4 linked regions of the Diceros bicornis minor genome follow. The protein of the gene in region 4 interacts with the protein of the main gene of each other region in a pairwise test. Links are inferred from orthologs where the notes say so. Each region holds a gene or a part of one and is shown on either strand. Other genes may lie near its edges.

Region 1 (7,644 bases), on a different chromosome or scaffold from region 4:
GCAAAGTTTTTTCATTAAATTTGGTGCCAAAATTGACCTGACCTTACGGTGTTTATTCTTTTTGGTGTCAATATTTATAATAATTGCAGAATATTAATGCATTTGATTAGAGGGTACTGCCCTAGATCCCACTGGGAGAGTTACTTAATATATGGTAAATATATCATATGATCTTCTTTACTATGAGAAATTCTGAATTCTGAAACATCTCTGGCCTAAGGGATTGTGACCTTGTAAAACCAATTCAGGTGCTGCATAAAGCAGATGCAGTGTGATGCCCATTCCCAGGTTGGGACTGACCCAGCCCTGTCTAGGATTTCTACTTCAAGGTGTCAAGTCCTGGGGAAATCTTTATGAATCTGGAGACGAATGTAATCAGGATAAGTCAAGGAGCATATGTAGGGGATATTTCTCCTAAATCAGTACTCCTCATGATTTACTGTGTTTCTGAATCTCCTAGGGATCTTGTGAAAATGCAAATTCTAACTCAGCAGGTCTGGAGTGAGCCTGAGGTTCTGCATTTCTAACAATTTCCAGGAAATGCCTACGCTGCTGGGACTGTCCTAAACTCCAGACAGGCCTAAGGCAAGGTTCTGAGGATGACAACGTCATGCCCCACAGGGAGATTGCCCTCTGCCCTCGGCGAGGTGGGGGGGCTTGTTAAACACTGATCACCAGCTGACCCAAATCTGCCTCATGGCTGCCTTTCTCCATCCTCCACTGCTCATCCCCGCCTTCTGCTGCCTCTTCGTCCCCCGATGGGTCCGTACTGCCCTGCACCGCCCCTCCAGACCTTGGCTGGGCTCCCCTGTCTCATGACTCTTCACTCATCCGGTTCCAAGTACAGCTTAGACGAGGTGCTTTTCCGGCTGGCCGACCTCACCCCCCAGGCATGAACTAAATTTGTTCAACTCAAATTCCTGAGACGCTTAATTATCTCTCCTGGCTATCTCCCTGGAAAAATTTTCCAGTCATTGCAAAGGACTCCCTAGCCTGGACCACTCAGAGACATTGTAATAATGCATTTGCTCACTAGACAATTGGTGACCCGGAGAAGGGCCATGGTTTATTCTATTCAATGCCTGCAGTGCCCTGACCGATTTCTTATGTGTCCTCTCTGCTTTTCTTTTTAAGTTTGGTTTCCCTGGTTGCAGAAAACTCAGCCTGACTTACTTTCCAACTGAATTTTCCTATCGTATTACAAAAGTAATACATATTTATTAATGAAAATTTAGAAAATATAGATTAGAAGAAAATGACAATACCAGTAAGCCCATCACCCAGAGATAACCACTGTAACATTTTTGCCTCACAGCATTTCAGTCTTTATATAAAAATTTTGTTTTACAAAATCTGGCTCATACTACATACAGTGTTTTGTAAACTGCTCTCCCCGCCATTTACAGTGTATTGTGACCATTTCCACAAGTCAGTACAAATTCTTCTACATCATTTTACACGATTATGTAGTTTTCCATTTAATTGATGTGCTTTAGTTGGGCTTTTATGTTGTTTTCAGTCATTTGTGGTTAAAATAAAACTGCGATGAACATCCTCACTCAATCGAAAGATACAGGCATATTCCGATTCTAACACCAATTCTGATGTGTGTGTGTTTAACAACACCAAGCAATTCTCCGACAACAGCTGGGTGTCCTACAATTCAACTCAATTCTGCCACCAACTACATGGAGATAGCATCAGATCCCACAGGTCAAGGGCTCCCACAAGATTGGCCCCTGCTTCAGATGCCAATCGCAAGTCCAGGTTGTTACCTGTGCTTCTGAGCAACCAGCTATAGATGGGTTAGACCCCCTCTTTGGGTTAGATTAATTTGCTAGAGTGGCTTACAAAACTCAGAGAAAATATTTACTTACGTTGACCAGTTTATTATAAAGGCCACAGATAAACAGGGAGACGGAAGAGATGCATAGAGCAAGGGATGGGGAAAGGGCGCTCATGCCCTCTCCAGGTGCGCCACTCTCCCCAAGTTCAATCTCGACAAGTTCACCAACCTGGAAGCTCTCTGAACCCTGTCCTGTTGGGTCTCTACAGAGCCTCAGATACATAGGCATGATCGATTTACTTATTGACCATTGGTGATTGAACTCAGTCTCCAGCCCCTCTCCCCTCCCAGGAGGTGGGTGGGGTAAACCTGGCTGACAGTTCCAACTCTCTAATCCCTTGGTTGGTTCCCCTGGCAACCAGCCCCCAACGTTAGGTTACCTAGCAGCTTTCCAAAATTTGCCTCATTAACAAAACAAAAGACAGCTTTATCGCTCTCATCTCAGGAAATTCCAAGGGTTTTAGGAGCTGTGTGCCAGGAACAGGACAATGACCAAATATTATTTATTATAAACCACAATATCACATATATCTTTTGGATACCTCCAGGAAATTATTTTATTAGGTCAAAGTGTATGAACTTCCTCATGCTTTGCAAGAATGTTGCCAAACCAGAAAGCATGGCTTCCAAACTCTCAAATACAAACAGATCCCTTGGGCTGAAGCGGTGTCTTCTTGAATCCCCACTAACTTTAGTTAACCAGCCATGATGTTGGAAAGGGGGAATTCCAGAGCTGAGGGCGATCTCCAGGCCACCAAGGCATGCTTCAAGACATCTCTCTGTCTCTGGCTCAGAAAGAGCAGGAAAATTGCTTAGAGATCTTTTTTAGGGATCTAAAACTTCCCGAAACTCACAACTTTATTTTCACACAATTCTAGGCTAATGTAAATCCTGTAATCAGTTCAGCATTTATTTTTCCATCCAATATTTACATATTTAAAATGAAGGGATTAGACTAATAGGAGAATAGTTAAGTAATTCATGGTACAGCCATTCAATTAATTATGGTACAATCACTTAAAAACTGACAAAGCTCTTTATGGACTAATACAGAACGAGAACTCAGATACAGCATTATGTGAAAAAAGCAGGGTGCAGAACGGTGTAGACAATACGCACATTTGCATAAAAAGGAGGCAAAGGAATACACAGATGTTTCACCATAGGTGTTTTGTTTGTGTACCCATAAAACATCTTTGGAAAGATACACAAGAAATGAAGAGTATAATACCTTAATGTTCAGAGACACTAGGCGGCTGGGAGAAGAGCATTTTCATTGCAATATCAAACCTTTCTCCTGCTGAACAACGTGAAAGTATTACCGATTCTAAAATAAAATAAAATTTTAAAAACACAAAATGAAGGGACTAGAGTATTTGAGTATATCACCAGTCAAATACATTTATGTATTGTTGTTTATTTTCCAAACCCCTTTAAAAGGTCAGTAAAGGAACAAAAGGAGAGGACCATATGTACAGAGAGCATGAGAAGGAACAGAAGATGGGCCACGTGAACACGCTTCTGGCAGGTGGTAAGTAAGGCACTGGCACAGATTTCAGAGCCAGACCTGTAGTCCCAGTTCTTTAACTTGTATTTTTTTTTTTTTTTGTGGGGAAGATCAGCCCTGAGCTAACATCCATGCTGATCCCCCTCTTTTTTTGCTGAGGAAGACTGGCCCTGGGCTAACATCCGTGCCCACCTTCCTCCACTTTATATGGGACGCCGCCACAGCATGGCTTGACAAGCAGTGCGTCGGTGCGCGCCTGGGATCCGAACCGGCGAACCCCGGGCCGCCAGCAGCGGAGCACGCGCACTTAACCGCTACGCCACGGGGCCGGCCCCCTTTAACTTGTTTCTCACGAGCTCTTGGGCAAATCGACCCCTTACTCACTTTGAGCTTCTGATTCCTTATCTGTGGAAGAGTAAGGATAAGTTGAGGATTTTCTGTATCCCATATTGTGCTGGACCCTGTGCCTCCTGGGACTGCTGGGAGCATTCACTGTCACAGATCAGAAGCTTTAGTAAAGCACAAAGAAAACTGCTATTATTCCTTTAAATAATAGCAGCATTTTTAGCTACTGTTATTTTAATATTTGTCAGTCTGATAGGAAAAAAATGAGTATCTCATTTAAATTTGAATTTCTATAATTACAAATGAGGTTGAACAATTACATAGATACTCCATTTGCATTTCTTTGTGATTTGCCTGATCGTATATCATAATAATCGTTCTGGTTAACATTTACTGCGTGTTCCCGTGTACCAGGCACTGTGTTATTATGATCTCTACATGGATTATCTCATTTAATCTGCAGATCAAGTAGGTAAAATTATTATGCCCAGTTTCGGGTGAGGAAACTGAGGCTTCGAGTTAACTAATTCACTCAAGTCTCCATGGCTAGTAAGTAGAGTCTGGATTCTGAGCAAGCACTTGACTCTGACCCAGAAGTCCCACTTGATTGAGAACACAGGCGCTTCATGCTTATGCTTAAATGACTCTTCCCTGATTATTTGCCTTTTTCTTAATATTCTGCAAGAGCCCTTTGTATTTCGGTTGTCGGGGCTCGGAATAGGGAAGGATCTGTCTGGGCCGAGGGCAGAGTGGCTTAGAGGCAGCCTACCTTCCCGTCAAAGGAAGGCTGTGCATGAGTGAAGAGGTAAGGCAGCACGCAGAGGGCGAGTGCACTCAGAGACCACGGCAGGAGACCAACCCAACCCAGGACAGAGGCCTGCGAGGGTAAGTGGACTCTGACCCCCTCCGAGAAGGAGCCAGAGTGACTCACAGGAGGAAGATGAAACCACAGCTTCCAGGCTATCTCCCGTCTAACACGCAGACAGTTCAAGTCATGAGAAGGAAGAAGAGGAAAACCTGAAACAGAGAGAGCTGGCCAGGAGCTGCCGAAGACCCATGCAAATAAGACCCGCCCACAACTGCCTGGAAACCAAGCCACAAGCGAGCACAGGGCACACGCTGCAGGGCGCGGGGAGAAGGTGGAGGAGGCTCTGAGCGAGCAGGTAAGGAGCCAGAGAGAGTCACGGAGGGCTGGGTCGCGGGGCCCCAGGGCCCAGTGGGTGAACGCTGGCCTGGAAGGCTGGGCTCCTGGGATCTTCTTTCAAGCTCAGCCACTCTTTAGCTGTGAAGCCTTGGGCAAGTCACTTCACCATTCTGAACCTTGGCTTCTGCATCTGTAAAATGGGTATAAAAGTATCACGCTAACTGTGTATGGAGCGCCTGCTGTGCTTTTACACGTTACGTTACCCCTTCTTCACAGCAACCTTGTAAGGTGGGATTATTAGCCCATTTTACAGAGAAAAACGAAGCTCAGAGAGGGTAGGCCATTGGTCTAAGACCTCACAGCAAATAAGTCTGGTTCCAAAGCCTGCGCACTTTCAACTCCCTAGCCTGCCTCCTTCACAGCTGCGGTTTTAAAGAATCAATTGGCCTCTGGCAAATGGAAAAAATTATAAAAGGCAATTATATCATCTAGATGTGAGTCACTGCACTCCAATCCTAGCAAGGACTGGGGCCCTTTGTAAACTGTGACGTGCTATAAAAATGCGAGTTCTTCATCTCTCTCTTCTTGAGGTTGAAAACATTGGGGTGAGGCTACAGACAATTAATATTTGGCTGACTGACTCGGTCACAGACTGAGATGATGCTTTCGGGCAATGTTCAGCACTTCGTGTAGCTGAGATGTCCCTGCTTGAGGGTGAATGGGGGGTGGATACAGGCCAGAGTCTCTCCTGGAGAGGCTGGTGTCTGACCAGCTGATCCGGAAACAACCAAAGATGCTGAGGGACCACGGCAGATAAGGGCCGGGTGCTTGATGCAACAATGATCATCCCTCTTGATAGCCCTTTACCATGGCCATGGATCTTCAGAAAATGTAGCTCTGCTTTGGGGAGAGCGGGGAAATCTTTAAGGGTAGTAATACAAGCTTACTGTGGTAAAGTGAGAATTTTCAGATAAGAGAATTGAAAAACAAAACAAAACCCCTATAATCTTACCCCCAGAGATGACCACTGTTGACATTTTGATATCTGTCTTTCCAGACATTTTTCCACTGCACAGATATATTGGAAAATTGGGTTATATTGTAATATGGTTTATTACTGGTTCTTTTCACTTAATGACATATCATGAACATATTTCCATATTAATAGATGTTTGATCACATCATTTTATTTTATTTTATTTATTTTTTTGTGTGAGGAAGATTAGCCCTGAGCTAACAGCTGTTGCCAATTTTCCTCTTTTTGCTGAGGAAGACTGGCCCTGGGCTAACATCTGTGCCCATCTTCCTCTACTTTATATGTGGGAAGCTGCCACAGCATGGCTTGATAAGCAGTGCGTAGATCCACACCCGAGATCCGAACCTGCGAACCCCGGGCCGTCGAAGCAGAGTGCGTGAACTTAACACTACGCCGCTGGGCTGGCCCATATCACATCACTTTAAAGGCTGCAGAATGTCTTTTCATATGAATGAAGCACAATTTATTTAATCAATGTCCTACTATTGGATAATTGAGTAGTTTTCAATACTTCACCATTAGAACCCTACTTTGATGGGTATGTCTGTAATCAGATCTTTGCACGGGTCCTTGATTCTTTCCAGGGGATAGGTTCCCAGTGAGGGAAATGCTGGATCAAGGCTATGCACATTTCAAGGCTTTTGATAAGTACTAAAGGTCTGCTTCTGACACTCTGCAAGTCAGGGGCTCCTCCAAGCTCAATGCAGAAAACTGTCGTAGCCTCAGACCCTGCCTCTCTCTCAAATCCATTTGCAGGGATAACGCCAACTACCACACAGATAGTCTTCACTGGGTGCCAGGCTCTATCTAAGAGCTTTGCCCTCCAATGTATTACTTTTAGCTCCCTTTTCAGAAGAAGAAATGGAGGCACAGAGAGGTTAAGCAATTCACCTGGAATCACAGCTCTAATGAGCAGTGGATCTGGGGTCACGAGCCTCAACAACCTGGTTCCGGAATCTATGCTGTCCACTGCTTCTTGGGAAGATTCTTTTACCCCACCCTTTGGATCTTCTCCACCACCGCCTGACCTACATTAAGCACCACCATCCCAGCCTGGACCCCTGCTGGAGCCCCCAACTGGTCTTCCGTTTCCACTCTGCCCTTTCAGTCTGTTCTCTGCTCTGCAGCTGGAATGGTGTTTTTAAGATGGAAACAGAATCAGGTCACCCCCCCTACACACACACACACACAGACACACACACACACACACACACACACACACACACGCACTCTCAACCCTGGAATAAAATCCAGACGCATCCATTCCCCAGCTTCTAGGGCCCGCCTCCTCCCTTTCTCCTTCATTCTGAGCCACTCTTCCACCCCAGGTCCACCCACTGCACCTCACCCCGTGACCTCCTTTCACGTCCTGAATTTGGCGGAGCTTTGTCTTACCTCAGGGCTTTGGTACATACTGTCCCTTTGGCCTGGAATGTTCTTCCCTTCAGGCAGCATGGCTTCCTGCCATCCTTCAGTGTCAGCTTTCATTTCACTTCTTTGGAGAAACCTTCCCTGGTGGTCTCATCTGCAACCCCCAAGCCCATTTTCCTTTCTGTCCTTTACAGCATTCATTAAAATTATGTATTTATTTATGGCCCATTACTCCTGAAATGTCTCTTTCCCTCATGAGACTCTAAATGTCATGAGGTCAAAGACCATGTCTATTTTGTCCACCATTATTTACCCAACGCCTAGCACAGCGCCTGGCGAGCGCTCAATGACTCAACAAATGTTTGCAGATGGATGAATGGTCCACAGAAGAAGGC
Region 2 (7,193 bases), on a different chromosome or scaffold from region 4:
CCTTTGAGATTAAAACTATAACTGGAACAGGAAATATTTCTCATGCTTCAAGTTCCTGCCGTACACAAGAACAGAGGTTTTCACAAAGAATTATCTGCTCCTCCTCACCCCAAGTCACTGGAACTCATGGCCATGTGTGAGGATCAAGCTTTATGAAGCGAGAGAGGGGAGGAAAGTACTGGGTTGAGTAAATAGCAACAAACTTATCAGGAATATTGGACCCTATAAACAAAGAGATCAGGAAAAAATCATATCCACTTGCCCAAGGAAAAACCAGTGAATTCTCTTCCACTGATTGGTCCATTGAGACGCCACAAAGGAGGAAGGCCCATCGCTAACTGCCCAGAAAGTCGCCCCGTGAAGGAAGCTGAGAGAAATAAAGTGATTACGGGTTTTATCTCATATGTAATAAAGTTACCTTGAGCCCAGGATCGGGTGGGGTCACAGCAAAGACTTGTGAAGTAACAAAAGCCTCTCAAGTCGGTGCTTAGGACCGCAGACCAGCTTTGCTCAAAGTTGGAGAGATGATGGAAAAAACCACCCCCTCCGCCAGGAGTGGACAGGCTGAGAAACTTGTCTAAAGTGGTGTGACTTTGCCAATCCCTCCGGTTTGGAAGCTGCCTGGCTGAACGGGCAGGCATATATGCGAGAGCCCCGTGCACTGGTTATTACTAATCGCAAAATCCTCATGTGTTACAGCAGGCTAGGAATGAGCCAACAGCTGCTTTCTGCTTCGGTAAAGAGGCCCCATTACACTCTGCTGGACTCGAGTTCTCGTCCTTCTTCCTAGCACTGGTTTCCTGTCTGATTTTCTTCCAAAACAGGGAATTGCCTCCGCTCACATCCTGGGCTCAAAGCCCTAGTGACACAGATTATTCAATCGGGGCACTGATGTCCGGTCTGACTTCCCATCCAGGCCCCCGGGTCTGAGCAAAGCCAGGCCGCAAGACTGTAATATTTCAATGATGACTGCCACAGAAACGGCAATGAAAGGAACAGACAAGAAATCAAACGATCCCTTCCTGATTCCGGGAGGAAGGGAGGGACATTTGGGGGTTGTTGAATTGGAGAGTGAGGGAATGGGTATAAATGACTCCAACCCTTTGCCTAATGGTATTTGGATTCAATACAAACCACCAATGGGGCTGGAAAGCAAACAAAACCAAACACTTTTAGGGACAAGATTTGAAACTCATCCCGTTGGTGCTCATTACGGGGTGCACTGACTGCACCCTCAATGCACACACGAGGCTCTCTAGAGTGCGTGCTTACGGGGACACCAGAGGAAGTAGAGGAAAGACACAGAGAAGCCATTTAGGGGACTCACCAGGTATGGGGAATTACTTTGGAACAAGGTATCCCTCTTCAAATCCCAAAGAGAGCTGTGTTTCCATTTTATGCTCCAGCAGAGTCCACACCTCCCTGGAAGCCCACCCCAGCCCTTCCTGGCTGGCTGGTTTCTAGAGGCCAAGGCCACGGCCTTACCAGAGCAATTCGTGCTGCAGCCAACTTGGCTGGACACTCAGCAGATCCTGACTGAGGAGGGCTTCAGATTGTAGTGGCCCTGTGTGTTAAGCCAGCTCCCTCACAGACCTGGGGGGGACCTGCTGCAGAGGGCAGACACCCCACCAGCACCACCACCCCACCAGCACCACCACCCCACCAGCACTTTTCTGGAATTTATAGACACACAGATCGCATGCACAACCCCTCCAGTGCAAACCAGTTCGGCTGCTTTAGAAACAAGTTGTTTTTCTGCTTCCAGAACCGCCCAGGAGGTCCCTTTCTCCCACTTCTCTCTGCAGGCGTCCTTGCTTCAGGTACCCTGTACACTGAAGGCGCCCCTTCTGGTGTTAGTGCAGGCTCCTGGTCCGACCCTCACAGGAGATGTACGGGCGCAGGGCACACAGGCGCCGCCCGAGCCAATCAAGGCTGACCTCCTCCTTCCTGACCTTCGCACCTGATTCCCAGAGCGGCAACCCTCGCCCTCACTCCGGATTACTTGAAGGAGCCCAACCATGTTTCCGAGTCCTCAGCCTCTTTCAGAAATTAACTAAGACTGACGGAGAATGGGGGAAGAGAAGGAGAGAGCTTTCCCACAGGAATAGGGTCCCTGGATGTCGGGAAGAGCCAGTGGATGCAAAGATTTTTTTGCCTACCAGGGAGAGAGAGGGGAAGGGGGGCGGGATTCCTGGGAGAGAAGGTAACAGGCTCCTGGGAAGGTGGCCTGTAATTCCTGGAGCTTGTCTGGATGAGATGTAGTGTGAAGGAAAGGGTTTGTTGGCTCTTCGAGCCCACTCCCCGCTCCAGTTTAAAAAAAAAAAAAAAAAGTGGTGGCGTGGGGGTAAGAGGGGTAGGCAGGACAAGACGAAAATCCAGACTTTACAACAGTGGCACGTAGGAATTTTCTCGCCAAATCAAGAAAGGGAAAAGAAAGCAAAAGAGGCAGTGGCGGCGAGAGGAGGGCGGGGGTCCGCCAGCGCCGCCAGGTGCATTCGGGCCCCGAACCTACCTGCTGGCCGCCGCCGCCGCTGGAGTAGGACTCGGCGTGCGCAGGAGAACCGCTGCTGCCACGGGAAGAGGTGTCAAAGTTCCCGGGATAATCCTGGTACATGATCCGCGGTGGGGGCCCGAGAGGAAACAGGGTGTTTTTCTTCCCCCGCCCTCGCCGCGGCCGCGCACCGGCTGCTGCGCGCTCGCTCCCTGCCGGCCGCGCCTCGGGCTCTAGTCTTCGCTCCCGGGCTCTTTCCCCTCGGCGGCGACCGCGGACGGACCGGGAGGCGACGACACCCCGGGAACAGTGCCGCCCGAGTGCCTCGCACTGCACTTCTTTCCTGCTCTACGAGCACCGCGGGACCAGTTGTCCACCCAGTCCCTCCCTCTAAAAAGTCGGCGCGTCCCTCAGTCCCTCCCCTGCGCGCGCCCTCCCGCCCCCGCGCGCAGCCGGAGCCCAGCCGGGACCTCCGGCCCAAGCAAAAGCTGGAAATTAAAAAAAGAATAGGACCCTGGAAATTAAAAAAAGAATAGGACCCTGGCAATTTTCCCTGCCAGATCTGGGGGCCCTCGATTTCAGTCAGGACAAAAAAGGCGAAAAGAAAGGCTGCCCGCTTGGAGAAACTTCTATTTCCTCCTTTTAGAAAGGGAGCTGAGAATAAACTTCCTGTGGCCGACTCGCCGCCGGAGTTTCGGAGCGGCTCGGACACTTGTCTAAGAGAAGAGGGCAGCCTGCGCCCGTCCCGCGGCCCGTGGGGTTCAAGCTGAGCCGGCGCTGAGAGGGACGCGGCCCCGCTCCCCGTGCCGTGGCTCCGGCGCCCGGACCTGCACCCCTTCCCCGGCGCCCGCTCCCGGACGGGCCAGTCTCGCCCGTCCGCGCCTCTCTCCCCCTCTCTCTGTCCCCGCCGAGCGCCGCTCGCTTGCTCGCTGGTTCGCTCGGAGCCCCTGCGCTCAGCCCGAGATGAGTCACTACAATGGCACGAGTTCAACTCCACACTCTTTATTCTCCAGCCCCCACCATGTGGATTCACTCACGTCAACCCCAAGACTCCACCTTGCAGGGAGGAGCGCGCGGGGAGGCGGGGGGAGGAGGAGGAGGAGAAAGAGGCGCGGGAGGAGGCGGGCATAGAGCTCCTCTCCCTGCCCCGGCTCCTGGCCGCGCTGACGCCAGCCGCACACTCCGCGCGAGGAAGGAAGGCGGTGGCGGGGGTGGGAGCCGACCGCTGGCGCGGTTTGGGGGAGCCAAGGCAGCCCTGGCCCTTCCACACCCCCGCCCACCCCCCGGGCCCAGCGCCCTTGGTCTGTTCCATTGGCGCACGTTGCCAAAGATGGTCATTTGCGTTAGAGGATGCGAGTGCGGGTTCCCTTGCTTTCGGGTGACGTGGAGGGAGAGGGATTCCCTCGCCCGCTCCCGAGCGCGCCGCGGCCTCCCCAACCCCCCTGCACCGCCCTGGGAAGGGGCGCGGGGCGGGGCCCCCGAGAGCGGCCGCGCGGGCCTCGGCGCCGGGTTTTAGAAAATAATCACAGTCTTGAAGAACGAGACAGGCGGTTCAGTGCGGCGCCACCGCCAGGCCGGGAGCCGGGCGCGCAGAGCCGCTCGCAGGGAGGGCGCGGCCGCGCGCGGTCGTCGGCGCCCTGCGCGGCGCCGGCCGGTGCAGCGGCCGCCCCGGGCGCGGAGAGTTCCCGCGCCGCCCTGCGGCCGGGTCCTGGCGGGGCGCGACGCCGCTGGGCGAGGCGGGCCTGCCTGTTTTCCCTTCGGTGGCTGGCTGCCCACACTTCCCCCCCTGTTTTTTTGGCCCTACAATTAATTTGTTAGGAGTAGACTTGAAGACGAAATTAACCAGTCAAGACATTCCGGCCGCCCTCTATGCCGGGCGTTTAGGTCGCATCTAATAAGAGTAATCGGACATCATAGGCAAACTCCAGACTGTTATGTATTTTAGAAAGGGCGGGGGGTGAGGCCAGGGAGAGGGTGTGCCCCAATGTTGTTTTCAGCTGTTTTGGAGCGAAGTTCAGGGAGCAGGTAGTCCGGGCTCCTGGGTCTTCCCGCCTCGCTGGGCGGGGCGGGGCGAGGTGCGGGGTAAAGAGCACAGGCCTTGGAGTACGAACGCCAGGTTGTGCTATTCGAGCTGTGAGACTTTGGGCGAGTCCCTTAACCTCTCTGGGCCTCAGTTTCTTCCTATAAAATGAAGGGGTTCGGACAGATGACGCTCTAAGGCCCTTATCAGTTCTGGAACTTCAATCTTTCTGCAGAGATGATCCGGAGGAACACTGTACCAGGAGTCAAAGCTTGGGTTCTGGTCCAGGCTCTGCCTTAGCCTCGGTTTACCCAACTCTAAAGTAGGGTCATCTGCACCCCCACAAGGTCCTTGTGAGGACACAACGGCAAGATGAGTGAAGACTGTGAAGAGCTATGCGCTGTAACACATCACAGTTCCAGTCCTCAGTTTCCTTATCTGTAAAGTGGGGGTGTTGCTAGGCAAGAAAAATAGAGCCGGGAACTCAAAGCTTTCCCTGGGCTCTATATAAAGCGCTGGCGTTTCCGGGACGGCTGGCGGCATCTGGCCGCCCCAATGGCCCTAAAATACGGTAATCCCAAACAATACTCGGGGTCATTGTTTACAGCTATAAAACACTTTCTGTCCTGAGCTCCATCCCCAAGGACGCACGCGGCGAGGCGAGGCTGGCCAGACTGCTCGAACCTCCGCCGCCGCCCTCCGGGCAGTCTCCAACTCTGCAGACCCAGGAGAGGGGTGCGGGGCGGGCGGATGCGCACACCCGCCGCGGTGCTTGGGTTCTTTTTTTTTTCATCCCTGCGTCCTGACTGCCTGCGTGTTTACGCGCCTCTCCCAGCAGGACTGAGTAAATGCAGTCCTTTGACGCAAAACCGATCAGCCCTTTCCCCAGCGGCAGCGGCAAAACCCAGAAAACTGGGGGTGGGGACTGTGTGGGGGGGGGGAGCGCAGGAGAAGAAATCGTGACACTTTCTCACTCGCCTCTCCGTCTCCTCCTGCGCCACCCAGGCCCCCGCCGACTTAGCCAGGTCTCGCGGGTGGTGGGGGGGGATGCAAAGGTTGGCATGGCCGGGGCGTCCAGGGCCCTCCTGGGAGCAGCCGCTTGTCGAAGCGGCGCGAACAGACGCGCTTTTGGTTTTCCTTTGAGCAGCAGCGGCTGCCTGACCCTCCCCCACCCCGCCTCGAAAATCTGGGTGCTTCTGGGTCTCTCCCACACAGTCCTTCCAGTAATGCGGGGGGGAAAGGAGGAGGGGGAAAGGGAGCCGGAGCTTCCTCCGCGGCCTCCGCCGTCCCGGGCGCGCCCAGACCCGGGCGGGCGGCGCCGGGAGCGCGCGGGAGGGCGAGCGCACCCTCTCTCTCTCGTCAGCCCCCGCCCAGCCTGCTCCCCGGCCCTTTCCTTTCTTGTGGGTTCCCGTAAAGCCCGGCAGCCCCGAGACGTCTGCAGAGCATCACGGAATCCGTGCTGATGCAAGTCGATAGCCTCCCCTTGGTGCGCCCCGGCCTGCCTTGGAGCGCTTTGATCCTGGCCTTCCCCTGCTCCAGAATTTGTGCTGGCTCCCTCTGTCCGGCTGGATGCCTGCCTTTTCGCAGTCTGTCCTCACCTTTCAGTCCACGAAGCGCCAGACACACAGAGCTGCGCCCTGGTGCTTCGGGGACTGAGCGGCTGGTCCAACTGGTGCCTTGGCCGAACTGTGGCTGCCAGACCGAGAGTTCAGCCTCCAAGCCCGGTTCACTGCCGCCTCCGTGGGGAATCATTCCAGTATCACCCAGTTAGAAAGGATCCTCTGGCTCCCCAGACTAACATCTAAGAATAGAGCCAACTTTTATTGAGCGCTTACCGAGAGTCAGGCACCACGCTGAATCCTTTGCAGGGATTGTCTCATGCAATCCTCCCAACAAATGTTTGAGGTGAGTATTATTCCCTGGTTGCAGATGAAGAAAGTGAGATTAAGGAACTTGTCCAGGAGAACTGATTAGTGGGTTAGTGACCCAGTTGGAAGTGCAGCTGGGCCTGTATGACACCAGGCTGTTCCTCTTACCCGGGACACTGCATGACTGGCCTCCTACTGGAAATGTCTTTGTTTCTCTCTTATTGGTCTCCAGAAAGCATGGACTTTATCTGGTGCATGGCTTTGTCCTATATTTAGAGGTGCTCCTTAATTCTCTGCTGAACTACTCAGCTAAAGAAAGGTCAAGTCAAGTGAGGGAAGAGGAGGAGGTGAGCTGGAGTGGGAAGAAAAGGGTATCTTGGGCTGTCTTCTCATTGTCTCTCTGGGTCTCTGGGACCTCCCTGCCCTGCATTTGCCAATTTCCTCCTGTGTCCCTCCAGTCCAATGTTTGGGCCCTGACTTAAATCCCAGAACGACCGCCCACTCTGGGCTGCACTGGCCCCCCCACCCCCCCCACCCCCACCCCCCCACCCCGTCTGAGAGCTGGACAGTTCATGAAGCCCTTTCACATACATGCACTTGTCCTCACACAACATCCCTGCCAGGGATGTGACAGCAGTAGAGGTGACTCTGGATTGCCGAAGAGAAGGCTGAGGAACAGAAAGGCAAGGCAGCCTCCTCAAGACTCCCGAGCCTGTGGTTGTCACAGCCTGAACTCAAACTTCTCTCACCTGACTTTACCCCAGCGCTCTGCACATGACCCATGCTCCCAGCTTGACAGGTCAGAAGCAAACTC
Region 3 (7,650 bases), on a different chromosome or scaffold from region 4:
TGTGAAGATTCCAGGTACCATGTCTATAGACACACAAGCAATCCAATCAACTCCGGGTGGCATCTCAGGACCTCCCACTGCTTCCTGTGGATATAAGCACCTCAACTGGCGGCAAACTCAGACCCATGTCCCAGTCCCAGCAACACTGCTCAGTAGCTGTGTGACCTTAGGTCAGCAACCTAGCTTCTCTGAGCCGCAGTTTCTTCATCAGCAAAGACGGAATATCACTTATGGCACAGGGTTGTTCTGTGGAGAAAATAATATTTGCATGTGGCTGCCCCACGCCTGATATGTAGAATGAACTCAGTAAATACTAGGTGAGTTTGAATGTGCACAGAACAGCTCTGACATACACATGTCCTGTTGAAAACAGGTTGTGGTCAAAAAATGGTCACAGTGACATGCAAAAGAGAGAAGAGAAGGGCGGTAGTGAGAGAAGTGAAAATTAGAGACAATTTTTAAAAATCTCTCTCCTTTCAACCAATAATTTCAACCTGTATGTTTATCAACTGTACTGCCTCAAAGTTGGCCTCATTGGATTGAGTGAGTTCTGCCTCTTGCCCTCCCTTCGTTCCAAAAAAGGTAGGAGTAACAACTACAAGGCAGGCCACTAAAAGGGCCCCAGAAAGCCAGGAACTGGTCCAGGAACTGGTCGGACTGACTTGGGTCAGTCTGGGGAAAGCGGGCAGCCTCAGGGATCTTGCACGGCCAACAGTTTCTCTATCCTCAGATACTCCTCTAACTTAACAGTTTAGAAGCCGGAGGGCACATCAAGGCACTCCCCAACAAGACATTTTTCAGAATCTACCCTGATACCACAATTCTGAAATCCAAATCTAGAAGAGCTACAAAGAACAGCTTCCCTTTATTGAACAGCTACCTAGTGAGCGCCTGACTCAGAGGGAAACATCTGGCATATAATATATGCACAGGGGAATGGTCTGAATTGTTTAAACCCCATTGTACAGGTAAGGAAACTGTACTACTGGATATGCCCCAAAGATACTAAGCCCCTCAGCTTCTCACAGGTCCTCAAGGACTCAAGTCTGCATGACATGTGGAAACTTCTGTCCAAGTCTTTAGGTCTAATCACAGGGCTGGATTCTGCAAAACTTCATCACACACAATCATCTTAACCCCACAGCAAAAGTAGGTCTGGAAGAGGGTGGAGCTGGGACAGAGACAGAGAAGAGACCTTAATTCTTTAGGAGCCACTTCTAATTTGCAGATAATTTGGTCAGAGGCTGGCTGCCAGGAGGAATGTGCATTTTCTTTCTGCACAATAATCTCTCCCAAAGAAAACCCAGACAAAGTCACTTGGCTTTCCTTGGGGCAAAAAAAGCTCTTCCTCCAAGATCACTCTGAACTCCTAACCCTTCCTCTCCCACCCCGCCCCTGGGAGTGGCTGGATGGTTGTTGTTTCTTTTCTTTTTTCCCTGTGGTCCTCTGGTAACACCACAAATTACGTTTTCAGGGACTCGAGTCCCAGAGTGCAATGATGTTGTAATAAACATAACCAGGACCAAATGCCTTCCCATCATATTAGATGATGCCATTTCCCACCAATCAGGCTCCTCGGGCAGGCAGACCACTCACCAATGAGGGACCAGACAGAGGCTGTGAGGGGAGACCTGGTCATCTGCAACTAAAAATAAGGGCGCTTCACGATTGGCCGCTGCCACTTTGCAACAGGAGTTGGGACCCGCACACCAGGCACCATACAGAAGGTGCACACAGGCAAAAACTTTCACAGCTCAGGGGTTCACATAGGGTGGGCTGCGCTGGGTTGGGTTTTTTTTATCCTTTTCCTAATTTGCTGACTTGAAAAAAGAAATAAAGACTTGACACAGAGGGGCCTCTCGCAGACACACCCTCCCTCCTAGACACCTCAGTTTCCAAAGGCCCTTCGCAGCCTCCCTGAGTTGGGGAAAGGAAAGGGGGTGTCGGCCAGGGGCCAAGACACTCACCTGTCCGGCCGTGTCATAGAGTCCCAGGAGGTACTGCTTGCCCCCTACGGTGACGCTGACTGCAAGGGCAGAAGTGGGGGCGGGGAGAGAAGCTCACAATTATCCAAGCTCTGGGGCAATCTCGCTCCCCACCAGGACCCTCCTCTCCCAACCCAGCTGGAAGCAGGCGGGCGCTCCCCAGGAGATGTCACTCCATTTCCCTTGTGCCGGGTTCACTGTGAAGTGGCGTGAGGTCGGGGTGCGATGCGGCCCCCAGCTCCCCACTCCCCTCTCCCGAGTCCCGTAGCCACGTTTCGCCCGGTCTCCCCAAATGTTTCCCCGGGGGACTTGGGGCAGTAAGGGAGGTGGCTGTGGGAAGGTCAAGGAGGTCGGCCCAGGGCGCCGAGGGGATTGGAAAGTGCAGGGAGCCGGGACTGGGCGCGGGGGTGGGGAAGGCGGGTAGGAAGGGGGTTCGGATCTGCAGGCGAAGGGGACCGCCAGAGGCAAACCCTGGGGGTGGGACCCGGCGCCCGGCGGAGGGCGCGGCGGGGGGCGGGTGGGGAGCGCGCTCGGGGGAAGCAGCGAGGGGGCTCCGCCAAAGTTGCTCCAAAGTTGCCGGCCCGGGGAGCGGCCCCTTAGTCAGCAGTTCCGAGGCTTACCTGCGTAGTGGTCGAAGACGGTGGGCACGTACTCCTCCGGGAAGGCGTCGTTGGCATAGCTCATGAGTAGGCACGTCTTGCCCACCGCCCCGTCGCCGACCACCACGCACTTGAGCATCAGCGCGCCGGGCCCGTGAGCCATGCTGCGGCCGGCCGGCCTCCGGGCATGGTCCCCCCGGAGCCCCCGCCCCGGCCCCGGGCTCAGCCCCAGCCCGCCTGGGGGGTCCGCCGCCGCCGCCGCTCCGCGCAGCAGGGCCGCCCCCCCGGCCCCATGCAGCGGTTCCCCCCGCCCGAGGGGAGGGGGCGGCGGGCCCGGGGCGCTGCCGCTGCTTCGGTCGCTGCCCCGATCCCCGCCCAGGCCCGGGTCGCCGCGCCCGCCCGCTGCCCCCGCCGCTCCGAGCCCGCGCCCTCTCCCCGGCCCGGCCTCCCCAGGAGGATCCTCTGGATCATAAGACTGTCCGGCCCCGGGGGAGACGGCAACTTTGGGGAGGGCAGCGGAGGGGAGGGGCCAGACGGCTCTCCCCGCCCCGCGCCCGCCCGGGCCCCCTCCCGGCTCGGCTCAGGAGGAGGGCGGGCCCAGGCGCCTCCCCCGTGCGCCGGCCGCCCTCCCCGCGCCCCCGCGCGCCCGCCCGCCGGCTCTGCGCCCCGCGCCCCGCGCCCCGCCCGCGGCCACCACTCGGCCCTGCCCGCTCACGCTAGCTTGACTCCCCGCGAGGGTAGGGGACGGGGCGAAGAGGAGGAGCCAAGGAGGAGGGAGGAGGAGGAAGATGAGGCTGGGGGAGGGGGCCGGGAGAGAAGCACTAGGGATGAGCCGAGGGCTCCTCGCGCAAGTGCCCGCAGCGCCCGGAAGCGTCCAAAGGCCCCGATGCCGTGAGAAGACGAGGAGGCCTCTTGGGGAATCACAACTCCAACGATGACGCAATAGTCATGCAAAATTATACATATATATTTAAACTCCATCCGGAAGACAGGATCCATCCTATCGGCCTCTAAGTGCACAACAGAACTAGAAATCGGGAAGAAAGGCCAAGACAGTTAAAAGAAAAATGTTTTTCATGGCGCGCGGGGTGATGGGCGAGGGGCGGGGGTGGTTCCTGAGCTGGAAAGTAGGGACTGGTTTATTGCTTGGTCCGCCTTCCACCACGACCATCTCATGACGTTTACAGCACGAGCTTGAATCATTTACTATGAACTGGTGACTGGGGGAGTTACATCTTGAACCACTGCAACACCCCCGAACCGGTCAGAAAACGGAGACCCTGCTGGCTCTGGTGCGGCAAGTGTACCTGTGCTCCCCCTGGAGGCGACATTCTCTGAGGTCTGAGGCCCCCTTACGGTCCCGAGTGTCCCTCGAAGGTTGTGATCCCTGAGGAGTGATACATTCTAGCTCCAAGACTTGGCCTGCGATCAGGTGGCAACCCCTGCCACCCTGCCTGGGCAAAGCTTGGAAACAGCCGTCTGGCCAGGTCCCGTTCACTGGCCAGTAGCGCTGCTCTGAACATTAGGCACTGGGGCAGAGGGGCAGGGGACAGTGGGTGCACTCCACGCTGACAGCACAACCCGCCCCCCTTCCCCTTTGCTGACATGAGATAAATGCTTCCCGTCATCGATTCACAGGATTGGAAAATGCTGTGTTGAGAGGCAGCACAGAGGTCAACTGGAACATCTCCCTTAGATCTCCCTCAGGTTGTAGGTAAGCAAACTGAGACATAGGGGGATGAAGTGGTTATCCAGCCTTCAAGGACTTGAAGCACACTTTGGAGGTGCTCACTGTTGTGTCCCCATGCCTCACTTCCCAGGCTTCAAATCTCAAACCCCAAATCTGATTTCCATTGTCTCAGGAAGACTTCCTGGATTACTGGAAGTTCCTTGTGGAGTCACAGTGAGCATCTCACCAGACCCCTCCATTTGCATCTGAGTGTAGGTATTTGCATTGCCAGCTGCTTTAGATTATGCAATGAATCCGGAAGACACTTTGTACGTACTGAATGACAGATTGAAATCAGATCTTGGATTGAGGCCAGTCTGCTGCTTCCTCATAGAGAGGAAGAAGGGAAGACTTGCCCCCTTTGTCTACTGGACCATTTCTTCAGGCAGCATTTGCTGGGACTAGTATTCTGAAAGGAAGGTCTATCAGAAGAGGTTAAGGAGCTCCTGGAATGCACTCAGCCAGCATTTGGTCCCAGCTCAGACACCACTTAGCAGTGTTACTGTGAGCGTGCCACTTCTCTTCTTTGAGCCTCAGCTTTCTCATCCATAAATTGAGCTCATCCGTAAGGGTGAGATCAGGTCTCACCCTTGAGGATTCTAGGGCCCTTCGGAATGTGTCCTGAGAGATCCTGGTAAAAGCTTTGGGACAAGGGAAGAGGCAGTTGCTGGAGACACAGGGAAGGCCTCCATGAAGGATGATGAGGTCTGTCCCAGGACTGGAGGATGGAGGCTTCTGCGAGGCTTCCTCCATTCAGGACTCCCAGTGCTTACACTACTTCCCAGAGGGGCAGACATTTACTAGGGACCTAGGGAACTGGAAGATCAGCTCCAGAACCTTGAAAAATAGCGAGGATCCCAAGTTCTGGATGCTCTGGGAACATCAGAACACTCCAAGTGGGGGACTGACGTGGGATGAATCATGCAGGGTGACTTCATTGATGACGGTGACCTCATCCCTTTGGCCCATAGAGAAGCCAAAACTGACTGCCAGGAATACTTGGAACTCGGGGCTGATTCCCCCAGTGTGTATGTGGAGGGGGAGTGGGGAATTATCCTGGGTGCCCCAGGGCAGCCCACGCTCACTTTCCTACGAGCAAAGAAGATAATGCCTCAAATGGAGGAAAAAAAAAAAAATTTGAAGGACAGGAAGCAACTTTGTTTCTAAGCGTCCCATAGGCTCTGTGCTTGGTTTTTTCCCCTTGTGTCAACCGCAAATGTGAAAATACTCACACGTCCGTGTGAGAAGAGTGAAATCTCTACTTAGCCTTCTCCTCTTTTTGCTCTACTTCTTGCTGTTCATTGATTCATCCAGTATTTCATTTAAGAAGCATGTATTGAGGTCTGCTCGATGCCAGGCTTTATTCCTGAGCAGGGCACGAAGAGCTGGAAAGCGGCAGTTGCTGAAAAGAACTGATGAGCAAACAGGTAATTACTATATAATATGATCAGTGCTGTGGTAGAGGATAAAGAACAGGCTTCTGGAAGTGCAGATGAGGCTGTCAATACCTAGCTCTGGGTGTGCTGAGGAAGGATTTGTAGAAGGGTGTTGTTGGCCTGGGGTTTAAGAGGCTAATAGGAATAAGATGAGAATACCTGGGAAAGACAGCCCTGCACCAGGGCAAGAAGGAACAGCACACAACCTCTTGGGGATGGTGAGCCATCTAGGGTGGACAGAGTGCAGGATTAGTGGTGCAAGGGGACTGGTTTGTATTTAACTGGGAACTGTATAATGCAGCCAGTCCATGGGCCTCTGAAAGCCTTGTTAAGAGGCATGTAGGACCCCTCCCAGGCAGGGCAGTCTGCGCACTGTACAAAGCTGAAAGGAGAAATCTGGCTCACATGTTACCCACAAAGTCATGACTCTGGCTCAAGGCTGTGTTCATTGGAAGGAGGGGCACTTTTTTCTTATCACAGATGTGACTTCTGTTTGTCAAACCTGTGCCTGTAGGGCTGCAGCCACCCAGAGAGGGGTCTTTTTTTCTACTAAGACAAAGGCAAACAGTGGCTCTGGGAGTGAGGATGTGATGAAGGGAGGAAGTAAGAATTTGTGGAGCATCTCCTGCGTGCTGTAGCTGTGTACTGTGCCCAGGCACTGTCCTGGGGAGTTGATGCTCCTTTGTGGAGGTCGTCTTATTTCACCCCCAAAATAACTATCTGAGATAAAATTTGTAGAGAATGTCTATTGATTTGTCTATGCAGAACAGCACCATTTGCTTCTATTATATGTTGTAATTTAATCTCTGTGGTCATGTGGTTTAAATGGAAGCTGCCATCTTCACACACAGCCAGCCCCTGAACCCTGTTGATTAGCCGTGGGTGGGCACCTGATCCAAGATGGAACAGTCAGACCCCTTCCTGAAAGGTTTAAATTTGGGTTTCAAAACAGGAATCTCCCCTCTTTTACTGACTAAACTGGAAAAGGTGAGCCTGGAAGCTGTCGGCCATTCATGTTTTGTGTTTCAGACATTCATGAAATAGCCAATCCAAGAAAATAAAGCTAAAATGCAGAGTGAAGCAAAAATATAGACATTAAACCCCCCCAAAAAAGGCAGAGATGACACAGGCTATTTGTGAGTTCCTGCTTGTGGTTATCCCTGAGACCCTGTTGTACTGCTGTTCCTCAGTTGGTCACTTGAGTTAATAGATCCCCTCTCTCTTTTTGCCTTGTGAGTATTGGTTAGTTTTCTGTCACTGGTAACCAAAGGAATCCTGACTGTTACAGTATTATCACTAAAGTTGAGATAGGTGATATGCAGAGAGATTGAGAAGTTTGCCGGATTTGGGGCAGGTAAGTGGCAGAGCCAGGTTTCAGAGTGATCTGTCTTCAAAGCTCATGCTATTTTCCACATTCCACATAGAGGAGGCATCAAAAGTTTTTCAGTAGGAAAATGACCAGTTTAGGGCTGTCATTTGAGATCACTCTGGGAGTGATGTAGAAAATGAGTTTGGAGGGGATGACAGTGGAGGCAGAGAGAGTGAGGAGGAGAGAGGTCACGAAGGTCTGAAGCAAGCATGGCGGTGAACATGAAGAGGAGGCCGTGGGTATTAGGGATATTTGGATGACAGAATCCACAGGGCTTGGTAATAACGTGGGCAAGATCTAGGATGACCCTGAGGCTTCTACGTTATGATTCACAGACCTTCTCCCTCTCTTTTCCTTCTTAATCTCCTCTGTTTTTATCCTCCCTACTTCTTCTTTGGGCTTTTTTCTCACTTGTTAAATCTTTCCTAGCTCCTGTTAGTTCCTAACCAGGTGACCAACTGTCTAAATCAAGCTGAGAGTAAAACTCCAGAGGGACAGTAAGGTTCTAAAATATATTCATTTTTTGTCATTT
Region 4 (6,905 bases):
ACAAAACATAGTTATCTCATAAATTTTAACTATGGACTAGGTAAAATAATTCTCAAAGCCTAAATTATATTGGAGTTATTAGTGAAATCAACCAGATTATTGTTAAATGAACCTTTCTTTTTAAGTTGGGAAAAATATTCTTTGGAATTTAAAGGAATAAGTATTTTATAGATATTCCTAACCCCTGAGCCAATATAAAAATATGTTCAGCTATGCTCTCTAGCAGGTATCAAAGGCATACCTTGGAAAGTGACTGCTTTTAGAATCTCTTACATAGAGTGTTGTAACATCTTAATTATTGAACTGACCACACAAATATTTTCAGCATTCCTACTATAGCCCAGGTCTTGTGTTAGGACTTGGTATTCAAAGATAGCAAGATACAGTTATTGCTGCCAAGGAGCTCACAGTTTAAGGGGCTCCAAAAAACATATGATAAGTGCTATAGCAGGTATTTGCAGGAAACTAAACAGCAATGGAGTCCATAGCTCCACATGAGGAGAAAAAAGGAAGGCTTCCTGGAAGAGGTGTCTGAGCTAAACCTAAATCACTGCAACAAAATTCTCAAGTTTTAAGAACAAGAGAGCAAACAGTTGTTCCGTAAGGGTATATAAAAGGAATAATCAGGAGAATGAGGCTAATAAATCTCTTTGGAATGCCCAAACTTACTTCTTTAGCATGTCTATCACAAAATTTCAAATTGTTAGTAAATATCAATAAATATAAATAATACACATGCATATGATATTCCAAGACTTTTCCCACATTGCTCCAGTAAAATGGTAGTGGGTTTTCCTTGGCTTTCTTTATTCATCATACAACTGTTCATAGCGACCAACAGCAATTACTACCTTTTCCTTTTCCTGGTTGGATTACTGGAGAGTAAATGAAATGTGTGAAGCTTAGTACAGGACCTGGTACACAGTAGAGTACAATAAATGGCAGTATCGTTCTCCATTCCAAGGTAGATCTTCTATGGCCATTCACCTCGGTGTCTTTGCAATTAATGTTTGAACTCTACACTAACCTCACAGCTAAATACCAGTACCTACCAGAGAAATCTTTAGCATGTTCCCTTTTTCCCCAGTTTCCTCAGTCTCTCCCCTATTTATTCTTAGTAATACCTTGTGGTAAAACTCTAGGGATAAGTTCCTAAAACAGGACTGTCACATTTAAGTTATAGTAGAAATGTTTAATCATGTAAGCATGATTCATGAAACAGCAACATTGCACTTATGCCAATGCAATTGCAAATAGAAGTATCATGATTTTATTATCTCTAGAAAAATAAACTCCACAAGTATTGAGATTACATACAATTCCAAATTCCAGAGTAAGTCAAGATAAGGCAGTAAATGTAATAGAGCTTGCTGACAGCAGATGGCAGCACTTGAACATCAAACTCGGCTCTTCACTTCCGTGTTGGTCTGTGACTTGCAGAAATGCAAAACCCCAATCAAAGTGGGCAAATGAGAATGTCCACATAGAGGGCACCTCATGAGTATTTGAAATAGTCACATAGAACCAAGATAGCAAGCACATAGGGATGTGGCAGCTGGTACATGGTGTGATAACGAGAAGAGACAATATGAGATGAAAGTATTTAGAGGCACAGAGGGTGTGATTTGTTGGAGTTGTAAAGATCACAAACAGAAATGGAGGTGGGTTCTACAATCCTGGAAATGGAGATCTTCAAAAAGGATCAGAGCACTCAAAACATATAAATACTTAAAATGCATTTCAGTTGAACCCACACAATACAGCAAGAAGTGGAATGACATTTTTTTAAAGAAACGAAATTTATTTTCAAGTGTAGTATAAACTAAAGAGAGTGATAAGTAATAGTGAGTATTACAATTACTTTTTTTTAAGGAACATTTCTTATATATTAATAGATTTGCATACGGCTTATAATTAGGAAGAAATTACTTTTTTGAAAAAACTTTTGGCCTGATTTGCCAATTTATTATACTGGTAATTTATACAAGAAGAAATGGATTCCCTCCTCCTTATATAACCCATGGTTAACAGCTAAGACTTTGGAGAAAAAGACATCTAAATTGAAATCTCACCTCAGTCGATTTTTAGCTGTGTGACCTTACCAAGATACTTAAGCTCTCTGTGGCTCATCTATAAAAAAGTGATAATAGCTTCCTCACAGGATTTTGTGAGGGTCAAAGAACTGAAGCAAATAGCACAATGCTTAATACACAGTATGTACTCAACAACTGAAAGCTATTCCTATTATTGTGATTCCATGTATGTGCCCTCCCTCCAATTTTACATTATTTACTTCAAATTCCTGAAAACGCATTGCTAACTATATTATGTATAGAGAAAGTGGCTGGCAACTTGGTAGCTGTACTGATGTTCTTGCAAATACTGAAATATTGAAATATAAAGTTAATTTGAAAAGGAATGGGGAAAGATGCAAATTTTAGTTTTACATTATTTTTTTGTGTATTAAAACCTGTATGAAGGTGCCTATTTAAGCTCAAGGCCAGGATCTCACCCTTAGTTTTGCTTAGCTAAGTCTGCTTAAGTCAAAGGACTTTATTGACCCATGTTAACCAGTCGGCCCTGCAGTCTCCAGACAGCAAACCAAACCTATGATTTCTTATTCCTCACTGGCCTTGCGTTGGCGAGGGGCACAAAGTGCTGGCTTTGGTGGTGATTAACTGGAAGAGTCTGTCCTATGAACAGATCATAAAAGAGTCTGTAGTCGGCCAGGAAAATATTCCCCTAGGCAATGCAGGAGAGACAGTTTCTACCAGCCTTCTCTAATCAGACTGGTTTCTCCGTCCTTTTCCAAGACCGGGCTACTCTTGAGTAGAAGAGGGTTAAAAGTGAGTAGGTGGAATGGTAAAGAGCAGTTGCTAAACACTCCCAAGGGTACTGCAAAATTCAAATTAAGTTGTAGCTATGCAGGTTAGACTCACTAGCCTGTGAGCTCTGCTTGACTAAGGGTCATGTCTCATTTATTTTTGTGTCCCCAATGCCTCAACAGGGCTCTGCATTCAATATATTTATGAATATGTGAGTCTTCATAATTGTGTTTTTCTGAAATGTCACATGTGGGTACACTGTACCAGTTTTTGAAATAAGTACACCTTTTGAAGTAGTTGCTTTGGAAATGCATGACCTGCGGTGTAATAAGGAATAGCAAGTGCCAAGCACTGAAGCTAAGCATTTGACCTCATTACTGAGCGTAGCAAATTTTGGAAACTGAGGCTTCGAGATTAAAGACTACAATGAAGACGGCACAGCTAATATGTGGCAGGGTTTAATACTTGAACCCAAGCCTGCCTCTTAATTACAAGACAAAATGTATTGTATTAATTCAGCAAAACCTGGGCAGCCGCTGTCCTTCAACGTGCAGCTCTAGGCAGTTTCCACCCAGAATTTAGGGCCTGGTTTACCAAGAAGAGCCAGTTTGTCCATCCACCCCACCCACCTTACCCGCCTCACCCTGAACAGGAAGTGGAATGGAAAAGGTAAAACGTGGCCATTGCGCATGCTCAGACCGCCCTTCCTCACTTTCCCTTCCCTGCCCCTGGACGACACCGCAGAAACTTTCCCGGACGACTTATAACGTCCTCTGCCCACTGTGAAGTCAGACGGGCGGAAGTCGTTCCTCTCTGCGACGTGGATGCCCTTCTCTTCCTCGAGCCGTTTCAACTTGGAAGCCGATATCAAGCGCCTCTGTTTCTCGAGTATTCAAACTGCAGTTTGCCAGTAGTCAATATGGCCGCTGACGGGCGGGTCCCAAGCAGAGGCTTTTCATAGGCCAAGGTCGCATCCTAGCCCCGCCCATTTCGCCCCACCAGGCTGCGTCCGTCTGGGTCTTCGCTACGCATGCGCAGCGGGGGCGGGTCGTGAGGTGGGACGGCCCGCGTCTTCCGTGTGCCGCCGCCGCCGCCTCAGTGTGGCTGCTGCTGCCGCTCTGGGGCTGCCTTGCCAGCCTTAGCCGCGCGAGGGGAAGGGAGGGGACCCAGGGAACGTGCGTGCGCGGGGGTCCCCGCAGTCCCATCAGTTCCTCTCGCGCGGGGTGGGCGGGGGGGGGTCAGCAGCAGTTGGGGGAGGCCCTGGACAGCGCCATGTCGGCGGGCGGCCCGTGCCCGGCAGGAGCCGGAGGGGGCCCCGGGGGCGCCTCCTGCGCCGTGGGGGTCACCCCCGGCGGGGTATCCATGTTCCGATGGCTGGAGGTGCTGGAGAAGGAGTTCGACAAGGCCTTCGTGGATGTGGATCTGCTCCTGGGCGAGATCGATCCGGACCAGGCGGACATCACTTATGAGGGGCGACAGAAGATGACCAGCCTGAGCTCCTGCTTTGCGCAGCTTTGCCACAAAGCCCAGACTGTGTCCCAAATCAACCACAAGCTAGAGGTGAGCTGCGGGCGCTGGAGGGGGTGGCATTCAACCCCGGTCGTCAGATTCTATTTAACGCACCAGGGAAGCGACCCTAGAAAACTGCCCACTAGGGCACCTGGGCTTCAAATGTGACGGGGGAGTGTGTGTGTATATGTGTGAAGGAAAGGAGTGAGGTGAAGTTGGAATAGAAAAAGGGGTGTAGATCGACGTGTGGGTCTCCCCGTGTCATCCACCTTCCTAGTATCTCTATGAGGAGGAAACAGGAACTAATTACACCAGCCTACTTGTACATATTACATTAACAAACCTAAGATTAAGCTCAAAGCTTCTCTGTCATAAGAATACCTTAGCCCACTCTTTAACATTTGGGTTTTTAGATCTCACATTGATAAACGAGGTATTTATGTCACCAGACAGATACACTCCTGATTATTTTTAACCATTTCAGGTCAAGGTCTGTTGTTGCACACAGACATACTCTTACCAGCATGCATGAACTAGTTAGGGGAATTTGATCAATGCTGTTAGGAAGATTTAGTGGGATAAACACTAAATAGTATCAGTATCCTTCTTGGTTTACAGTTGGTCTTTAAATTACAGGCGTATACCTCCAGAGCTCCCTACAATTATTTAAATGACTTCTAACATTGAGGTTTTGTTTATGCTTTACTATATTTCCCAAAATCTGAATTTATTTTTTAGAGTATGTGAAGAATGGTCATTTGCTTAAGTCTCTAATCTTGGTTGTGGGTGTGGGTGGATGGTGATGGTTCCAAAAAAGCAAAAAAACTTACCATATTGTGCACCAAATTAAATTAGTACATTATTACAGTATTTAGAAATCATGATAGATTAACATTATTACATAAAGAGCATTTTCTAACTAGATAATTTAAATAAGAGAATGGGTCTTCATTTTAAATAGATATAAATAGGATAATCAGTGATGTACAAAGTCCTTTGAACGTTAGATTTACTAAGAAATCATCATTGCTATCAGTTGTAATGCTTGAAAGTGCCCATTGGATCCAAATCAATATGAGTATCAGATATGCATCGTCTCCTTGCTTGTGGTTAGCATTCTTTCTCTTTCCTGTCAGTTAGCCATGAAAAAGGTGGGATAATTCATCTTTGATTAGCATAGAATTGCGTATCAGAGATTTTGTGACTCTTCTCCCCTGAAAGGACTGTTCATTTCTTCCATCCTTTTTGAAAAGGTTGAAGTGGGAGTGCCAGTAGGAAGCTAAACACTTCTTATGAAAATGTCTCTTGATTTCTTGATTAGGGGTAATTTCTAAAAGATATTTATTTTTCTCAGTTAGTGAAATTGCATTTGTTGGTTTTTAGAAATAGTACTTTAGGTTTAAGTAACAGAGCAAGAGTGGCTTTTACCACATGAGAACTTCCGTATCATTTACAACTGCAAGTATCTACTGAGAATAAACAGCTTTTAAAAAGTGAAACAATATCTAATTCATTTCTTTAATGACTTAAGGAAACTTGAAAGAGTGATATTTTGATGTCAGATATAAAATCTAATTTTGGAGAAAGGATCATTCTGTGAGTAGGAGGTGGTGCTCAATTTTTTTCATCTTTAAATATTTTAGATAAATATTCAGAGCTATAATAAATTATGCATGTTCTTTTTTTTCAGAAATTATAGTTACATATTCTGGCTCCATGCCTGGCTTAGGAGGTGGTGTTATTTCTCAAAATAAGAAATGCTAACCTATCACAATGTGAGCATATTTTTTCAACATGCCTGAAACCCTTGATTTAAAGATCTTAGAAAATGGGGAGGGGAGAGACTAATGTGATTTTTTTGTTGTTGTTTGTGTATTTTTTCAGTTACAGTTGACTTATCAAGTCTGTGGGGTTAATCCTTCTACATGTAGCAATTTCCACAGTTTTCATGGAATCAGTTGTGTATTGCTAAAGAGTGAGGTTCATTGTCAGTAGTGCCTTTGAAAGTAGATCTGCTGCTGTATCATCTACAGAATTTCAGAGGTTGCTCCGTATACTGTTATCAGTCGTCTGAGATCTTGAAATCTTTGAAAAAATTTCCATACTTTTTGCCCTATTTTATTTTATTTCTTGAATTCTATTTTTTTAAGGATATGGAAATTAAAACATAATATTTGAGACCACTTATGGTTTGGTATAACAAATGTGCACCAAAGTTTAGTGGTTTTAGAGACTAATACCTTAAGCCATATTACCATAATAAAATATCTTTATAATCAAGACACAGATACCTCCAGTATGGGTAGCTTATATTTAAATTGGTCTTAAATATCCTTCCAGATTACTCCTTCTTCTCTCCAGTTATTGTGTCTTTAGGTAACACCACATTTAATATTAATATAGTAGTTAGGAAAACAATTTTGATGCAAAAAAGTCATAGGTTACATTTTAAAATTAAATATGAATGACATCTATGTGACTGCTTCTTGCTGTAAGTTATATTTGGGGAGAGGGCTATCTATAAGGGAATGGGGAGGGCAGAGAATATCAGAATATTTTGAGAGAGTGCCA

Evidence for each region.
Region 1: the proteins of GOPC (region 4) and RNF183 interact in binary tests that used the Homo sapiens proteins (3 or more experiments, as listed by UniProt). The two-hybrid records come from large-scale screens. The link is inferred for Diceros bicornis minor from reciprocal best matches to the Homo sapiens genes GOPC and RNF183.
Region 2: the proteins of GOPC (region 4) and FOSL2 interact in a two-hybrid assay, tested with the Homo sapiens proteins (2 studies listed by BioGRID and IntAct). The two-hybrid records come from large-scale screens. The link is inferred for Diceros bicornis minor from reciprocal best matches to the Homo sapiens genes GOPC and FOSL2.
Region 3: the proteins of GOPC (region 4) and RHOQ interact in a two-hybrid assay, tested with the Homo sapiens proteins (2 studies listed by BioGRID). The link is inferred for Diceros bicornis minor from reciprocal best matches to the Homo sapiens genes GOPC and RHOQ.

What each region holds. Positions count from the first base shown.
Region 1 is NC_080767.1:21,550,165-21,557,808, reverse strand, and holds the start of RNF183 (E3 ubiquitin-protein ligase RNF183), read left to right. Parts: upstream 1-4,639; 5' UTR 4,640-4,861; intron 4,862-7,644. UniProt on the Homo sapiens protein: Acts as an E3 ubiquitin ligase catalyzing the covalent attachment of ubiquitin moieties onto substrate proteins. Triggers apoptosis in response to prolonged ER stress by mediating the polyubiquitination and subsequent proteasomal degradation of BCL2L1.
Region 2 is NC_080751.1:54,562,253-54,569,445, forward strand, and holds the start of FOSL2 (fos-related antigen 2), read right to left. Parts: upstream 3,009-7,193; 5' UTR 2,615-3,008; coding exon 2,513-2,614; intron 517-2,512; exon of another isoform or gene 419-516; intron 1-418.
Region 3 is NC_080751.1:38,721,006-38,728,655, forward strand, and holds the start of RHOQ (rho-related GTP-binding protein RhoQ), read right to left. Parts: upstream 2,772-7,650; 5' UTR 2,748-2,771; coding exon 2,606-2,747; intron 2,027-2,605; coding exon 1,968-2,026; intron 1-1,967. Other genes in the region: basic salivary proline-rich protein 2-like, read left to right, coding at 2,772-3,479. UniProt on the Homo sapiens protein: Plasma membrane-associated small GTPase which cycles between an active GTP-bound and an inactive GDP-bound state. In active state binds to a variety of effector proteins to regulate cellular responses. Involved in epithelial cell polarization processes.
Region 4 is NC_080762.1:18,495,089-18,501,993, forward strand, and holds the start of GOPC (Golgi-associated PDZ and coiled-coil motif-containing protein), read left to right. Parts: upstream 1-3,891; 5' UTR 3,892-4,097; coding exon 4,098-4,385; intron 4,386-6,905.